Linked DNA regions of Xenopus tropicalis. The protein of the gene in region 1 interacts with the protein of each later gene in a biochemical or structural test. Links are inferred from orthologs where the notes say so. Each region holds a gene or a part of one and is shown in the gene's direction. Other genes may lie near its edges. The genes, in order: pias4 and top2a.

Region 1 (3,750 bases):
AGTTGCAAGACAGTCCATGTGTTTTCGTCCTGTCCCCAAGGCAAGTGGACTTGATCAAGAACTCCAGGTAATGGCATTCTTTATAAAGATGTAGTCCACCTTTTTTTTTTTACATTTTTTTTTTTCCTTAGACCAGTGAAACACGAGAAAATTAGTCACGCTGCAGTAGTGACTAGGGTTAGTTAGTTAAGCCTCACCAACCGGTTAAGTTAAAATTCTTAAGGCCAGGGACGCACAAGGAGATAAGTCGTCACCCCACTATTAATCTGCTCTAGCAGTGGCAACTAATCTCCTGTAAATCGCCGGTAGGACAACGTGCATTCAAAATCGGAAAACTTTTTTTTTTTTTTGTTTTTAAGAGTGCCTGCCAGGCCTAGCAGGCTACCCACTAAGGCGCTATCTAATAAATTGCACCCCATATACATTGTTTCTGAAATGTAAAATATTAATGTAAACAGTTTTTTTTAGAATGTTAAATGTTTTTAACGAAGAGAAGTTATAGCAACACTGCATACATTCATCCAAGTAGATGTCCAGTGAGCAGTGATATCTGTAAATAATTGTGTATGACTACACTTCAGTATATTGTTTTTCCACCTTATCAAAAATCATACAAATCTGTCTAACCATTATATTATTTATTTTGCATCTGACATTGTCTGCGTTTCTCCCTTCTAGGGATTTGCACCCTGGAACCAAATCTGTTCAAGTTGTTCTAAGGTAAGGCACCGGAGCATATACCTAAAAACTAAATTTTAGACTTGAAGGAGAAGGAAAGGCAAAGTCACTTGGCTTACAGGAGGCTTTATTTGGTAGTAAATCTTTTTAGTAGTAAATCGTTTTTATTCAACGAAAACTTGCCACCAAGCCAGGAATTCAAAAATAACTTCTTGGTTTGGGGGCACTGAGAGCAACATCCAGGGGGTTGGTGAGTAACATGTTGCTCATGAGCCACTGGTTGGGGATCACGGTCTAGATGGTTTTATATAGTGAATAATGTCCCCTCTACTGTAAAATATCACCATATAAAAGCAAGAGTTAGTGAGTCATGTGACCGAAATTACATCACTAAGCACTGTTTATAAGGATATAATTTACAGCAGGAAATGCATGGCTCTTGGCTATTTCTATATGTATAATATCTCTATCATAAACCATGAGGATTAAGGTCTCATTCAGGTTCAGTGCTGTATTTTCATATTTTGCTAGAAGGTGTATTTACCACATCTTGACGATGCCCTTCTTCAGACTTGTTTTTTAGTTATGATAAATAAATGGTAACGTATTGTAAATTATTTTTCTACACCAGGATTTGTTACACAGACACGAGCTGTCCACAGGAAGATCAATATCCTCCCAATGTTGCTGTGAAGGTTAATCATAATTACTGCTCTGTTCCGGTAAGTTAAGAACTGTAAATTTTGTTGAATTTTTATTACATCCATCCATCCTAATAAGTGCAATTAGTGATGCTATGCCCCCCCCCCTTTTTTTTTTTTTTATAAATCTTAGGGATACTACCCTTCAAATAAACCTGGTGTGGAACCTAAAAGACCATGTCGTCCCATTAACCTAACAAACCTCATGTATCTCTCATCTGCTAGCAACCGAGTCACAGTCACTTGGGGTAATTATGGCAAGGTGAGTATTTATGGGTCTGGAACCACTTTTGACTACTTAGATTTTTATTTTTCTTCTTTACATTGCACTGTACTCATACTGCATCTTTCTTATAATAACCTACACATACCTCTCTTTTCTACATTTAATTTTCAAAAAAATGACGTTTCTAAAAACCCTAAAGATATTGGGATCTTATTTAACCAGTGAACTTCTATCTACTTGAAGTTGGTATTTACAGAGACTGCAGTTGCCGATGACCAAGGCCACCTTACAGTCAGGGTTGCTTTAGCAATAGTGTTGGCAGGGGAAGATGCTACATTCCCCTCAAAGGCATGTGTGACCTTTTTTTGGTAAAATACAGTTGTGGGTGTGAAAGCAATGAACCTACTGAATCTACAATATAATGGCCATAGTGATTCCACTGGGAATCTCTGGTTTAATGTGGCAAATGTAAAAACTAATTTTCTCTGTTGTCCTGTATCCTGTTAATGGAACACTAAAGTGTTTTAAAGCAATTAAAATATAATGTACTGTTGCCATACACTGGTAAAGATGTTTCAGAAAGAGTACCTTAGTTTATATAAAAACTGCTGTGTAGCTAGCCAAAGGGACAGCCATTTAAATGCTGAAAAAGGAGAAAAGGCACAGTTTGCATACCTGATCAGCTCTGTAGAATACAAGGATAAGGACAAGAAGAATAGATTTAGTTCTTACACAGGAAGATAAGTGGTTCAGATGCTATTCAAGACTGAAAAAAGCTTTCTTATAGAAAAAAATGTAAGAAATTTGTAGGTTCTGGATCAAAAGATGCAAACTTTTTGAATGTAAAAACATTTTTTATTCACTTTTTGACAAATTACTAGTCCTTTTAGTGATGACTGCTGTCCCTGCTCATCCCCCTCGCCTCACCTTATCCCAGTCCTCTTGTTGCCTTGAGTGGTCAACCCCACCCAGCACTACTTGTTGCCTGGCCACCTTATGTGTCTTAGCATCTTGCATGGCTACCCAGAACTTCTCTGTCTAGCATGACTACCTTGGTCTACCCAAACCAGTGGGCTTGCAAACAGTTGAGGCAGGTGCCTAGTGCTTTTTTTTTTTTTTTTTTTTAAACTGAATTTTTGAAACTTGTCATTACAATATTTTCTTTAAAAAAAAAAGCACTAGGCACCTGCCTCAACTGTTTGCAAGCCCACTTTGGATAAAGGGTGTCCAGATAACTGAATTTTTGAAACTTGTCATTACAATATTTTATCTGGACACCCTTTATCCAAAAAGTTCCAAAATACAGAAAGCCCATTTCCAATACACATTTTAAAGGAGAAGGAAAGGTAAAAACTAAGTGAGCTTTATCAGAAAGGTCTATGTTAATACAGTCTTAAGAACTTACAATAATGCTGCATCAAAAGGAACACAGGATTTCTTGTCTCTCTTTTTGTAAACATGATGTTCCAGTGTCTGACTTCCTCTCTCAGAAACATCCTTAATTCCCAGGGCCATAGTCTGAGCAGCTCTCTTCTTTCTTCACTCTCCTCCCCCCTCCCACCAGAATGCTCTAGCACTCCCTCCCCCCTCCATTAGGAATGTGTGTTCTGAACTATAATGGCTAGACTGCAGGAAGGAAGCTACTTTAAATGGCAGCTGCTGTCTTAAGCAAAGGGAGAAAGCTTCTAAAGCTGTTTATTCAGGTATAGTAATGCTTTCTGCAGAATAAATATAGTGTTCTAGGTTCTATGTGGCAAATCTATTGGCAGTAAAATGCCAAAATGACTTTCCTTCTCCTTTAATCAAATAATTGAAAATTTTAAAAGGATTTTTTTTGTGTGTGTAATAATAAAACAATACCTTGTACTTGATCTAAGCTATAATTCAGTCTTTATTAGAGGTAAAACAATCCTGTTTAATGTTTAAATGTTTTTTTTAGTTGGCTTAATGTATAGTGTGTAAAATTACGGAAAGGCCCCTTATCTGGAAAACCACAGGTCCATGAGCGTTTGCATATGCAAATAAAGTTGTGTAAAGGCTAAAGAGAATCATGTTTGCGTCAAAAATTCACCTGATTTTAAAGGTTTCGGCTTGGCCAGGCACATGGATTCAGCTGAATCCAAATACTGAATCAAATTCTGAATT
Region 2 (3,824 bases), on another chromosome or scaffold:
CAAGATTCAGAAATCGGTCAGACTACTCCGAACGACAGCACACCCAACGATCCAGATGTGCATGAGAGTCCTGGAACTGAGGGTCTCCACCATGGAGGCAGTCCCATTCGCCCAATTCCGTCTCCGACATCTCCAGACGACGGTGTTAAGACTCTGAAACAGGACAACCCTTCATTAGAGAATAACCCTACCAGAAAACATTGTGAGCTCGCTAACCTGGTGGCTAACACAAGAACGGCTAACACAGGGAAGGAGCTTCCTGGAACCAGCGTGGTTAATCGTAACCACGGACGCCAGCCTCACCGGATGGGGGCAACGTTTCAGGGAAGAGCCGCACAGGGAATTTGGACAAGGGAAAAAAACAGTCTTCCAATAAACATAGTGGAATTAAGAGCCATACTTCGGGCACTCCAGTCATGGGAACATCTCCTGAGAAACCAGGCAGTTTGAATTCAGTCGGACAATGCCACAGCAGTGGCATATATAAATCGACAGGGCGGCACAAGAAGCAGCAGGGCAAACCAGGAAGTGACCTTCATCCTAGAGTGGGCGGAAAGGACGGCCACCCAAATATCCGCAATTCACATTCCAGGAGTGAGCAACGTAGAGGCCGACTTTCTCAGCAGACATCTGGATCCAGGAGAGTGGCAACTACACCAGGACGGCTTTCTCTGCCTGACACAGAAATGGGGAGTGCCAGAAATCGACCTCATGGCCTCCAGGCACAATCGAAGGGTACCCAGATTCTATGCGAGGTACCGCGATCCCCTGGCGGAAGGGGTAGACGCCATGACCATCCCATGGCAATTTCGACTGGCATATGTGTTCCCACCCCCCCCAATGTTACCACGCGTACTGAGGAAGATAGCAACGGTACCGGCTACGGTAATTCTCGTTGTACCACGTTGGCCCAGGAGATCCTGGTACTCCAGTCTTCTAGAGATGTCATTAGAACCTCCAGTAGAACTTCCAGTATTCCCACAACTTCTGTCCCAGGTTCCTCTCTTCCATCACAAGCCCCACCTCTTTGTCTTAACGGGATGGCTCTTGAGGCGTCAGTACTGAGAGAGAAGGGATTTTCGGAAGACGTAATCATGACCATGATTAGGGCCCGAAAGCCGGTAATGTCAAAGATCTATCACCGGGTGTGGGAGTGCTACCGACGGTGGTGTGAGGATGAGGAGATCTCGTTCATGGAATTCAGTGTTCCTCGAATCCTACAATTCCTCCAGGCAGGCCTTCAGAAAGGATTCCGTCTGGGCTCCCTAAAGACGCAGGTCTCGGCTCTATCAATCCTATTCCAGGAGCGCATAGCCCTTTCGGAGGATGTTTGCAAGTTCCTTCAGGCTCACATTTCTCCTCCGTTCAGACACCCTATACCTCTGTGGGATCTTAACCTGGTTCTGAACGCCCTCCTTGACAGCCTCTTTGAGCCACTGATGGAAGTGGGAGTAGAATTCCTCACTTGGAAAACAGTTTTTCTAGTCGCCATAGCCTCCGCCAGAAGAGTGCCAGAGCTGGGGGCTTTATCCTGCTCAGAATGATTTCTAATCCTACATGAAGATAGGGCGGTACTTCGGACAACCCCCGATTTTCTGCCCAAGGTGGTATCCTCATTCCACATAAACACCAAGATTGTTTTGCCTTCCTTCTGCAGTAGTCCTAAGAACGACAAGGAGAAGAGTTAACATCGCCTGGACGTGGTCAGACATAGATCTCTCACACTCGAGTTTTTAGACAGACAGATACACTGTTTGTGATTCCGTCAGGAGCAAGAAAAGGTCTCCCAGCCACGAAAACCACTCACTATAGCGCGATGGATAAGAGACAGTGAGACGAGCCTACCTGACACAGAGGAAGGTACCACCAATCAAGATCAGAGCACACTCTACTAGAGCTCTGGGAACATCATGGGCACACCGGAACCTTGCATCGACTGAGCAAGTTTGCAGAGCGGCTACTTGGTCCTCTCTTCACACTTTCACCAGATTTTATCAATTCAACACTTACCTGTCGGCGGAGGCAGCCTTCGGAAGGAAGGTGCTCCAGGCAGTAGTTTCCTAAACGGGCAGAGTTCTCCCTCCCTAATGTGGGGTGGCTTTGGTACGTCCCCACGGTCCCTGTGTCCCCCTAGACGTGGGAGAAAAGGAAATTTATGTACTTACGGTTAAATCCTTTTCTCTCCAGTCGTAAGGGGGACACAGTGCTTCCCTCCCTGAACTCTTGTTTTAGTTATCCTCAGTCTTGTTGGGAGTTGTAGTTCGGCTATGAGTTAATTCTTTGTTACAAACTGAATCCCTTCTGGGTTGAGAGGGGATAAAGGGAGAGGAGGAGGAGGGTCCTCAACTCTGTTCTTCAGTGTCCTGCCTCCTGATGGGAGGGGCCCTTTACCCCACGGCCCCTGTGTCCCCCTTAAAGGTCCCCATACACGGGCCGACTATAGCTGCCGATATCGGTCCCTTGGACCGATTCGGCAGCTAATCGGCCCGTGTATGGGGAGAGCAGAGCGGCCTGGCCGACCGATATCTGGCCTGAAATTGGCCAGATCTCGATCGGCCAGGTTAGAAAATCCGGTCGGATCGGGGACCGCATTGGCTCGTTGATGCGGTCCCCGATCCGACTGCCCCATTGCCGCCCACATAATCCGATCGTTTGGCCCCAGGGCCAAACTATCTGATTTTTTTTTTTTTACCTAAATGCTCCCCGATATCGCCCACCCGTAGGTGGGGATATCGGGGGAAGATCCGCTCGCTTGGCGACATCGCCAAGCGAGCAGATCTGCTCGTGTATGGCCACCTTAAAGGAACAGTAACGCCAAAAATGAAAGTGTATTAAAGTATTTAAAATATAATGTACAGTTACCCTGCACAGGTAAAGTTGTGTATTTGCTAAAGTAACAGTAATATAGCTTATATAAATAAGCTGCTGTGTGGCCATGGGGGCAGCCATTCAACCTGTAAAAAAGGAGAAAAGGCACAGGTTACATAGCAGATAACCGATAAGCTCTGTAGAATATAATGGGACTTTATCTGTTATCTGCTATGTGCCTGTGCCTTTTCTCCTTTGAATGGCTGCCACCATGGCTACACAGCAGCATTCTGTATATAAACTATAGTAGTCTTTCTGAGGCAAACACATCAGCTGTACCAACACAGGGCAACAGTACATAATATCGTAATTATTTTTATACACTTTCATTTTTTGGTGTTACTGTTCCTTTAAGACTGGAGAGAAAAGGATTTAACCGCAAGTACATAAATTTCCTTATCACAGGTAATAAGATGCTGGGTGTTTTTTTGTTTGATTTTAGAGCCTCTTCATTGTTTCATCATTCATTCATTCATTTACTGATAGTTGCCTAGGCCTGCTATGGAATGTGTTACCACATAAAAGGGTTCTGCTTGATAACAAATGCTTTTATTTGCTTTTAGCTAAAGTGAACTATATGTTGAGCTCTGATGAAGACGGTGAAGAAGAGGGAAGTGGCATAAAGATGCCTCAGGAGAAGAGTGACAGTGAATTCAGTGATTTCAACCCAAAATCTGATTCAGAAGATGAATCCTTTGTAGTTGCAAAGCCAGCCAAAAAGCCCAGAGCTGCGCCCAAGTGAGTACTCTCCCCTCCCTTTAGGTACAAATCAACTTAAGCCATTTCTTGGTGACAATTTTGTTTCCAGCATATAATGCTGCTTACTAAAAAACTATGTGATTGGAAACTACCTTACTGGCATCCTGATGGAAATTGGTAGATTCTAAATGTTAGTATTATACAGACAACATGCACTTTTACTCTGGCAACCAGCTAGGAACTTGAATGAGGCTGAA

What was found.
Region 2: of the proteins of pias4 (region 1) and top2a, one has a biochemical effect on the other in vitro, tested with the Homo sapiens proteins (2 studies listed by BioGRID). The link is inferred for Xenopus tropicalis from reciprocal best matches to the Homo sapiens genes PIAS4 and TOP2A.

The regions. Positions count from the first base shown.
Region 1 is NC_030677.2:93,058,264-93,062,013, reverse strand, and holds part of pias4 (E3 SUMO-protein ligase PIAS4), read left to right. Parts: coding exon 1-67; intron 68-678; coding exon 679-720; intron 721-1,309; coding exon 1,310-1,400; intron 1,401-1,512; coding exon 1,513-1,641; intron 1,642-3,750.
Region 2 is NC_030686.2:8,643,403-8,647,226, forward strand, and holds part of top2a (DNA topoisomerase 2-alpha), read left to right. Parts: intron 1-3,431; coding exon 3,432-3,606; intron 3,607-3,824. UniProt on the Homo sapiens protein: Key decatenating enzyme that alters DNA topology by binding to two double-stranded DNA molecules, generating a double-stranded break in one of the strands, passing the intact strand through the broken strand, and religating the broken strand.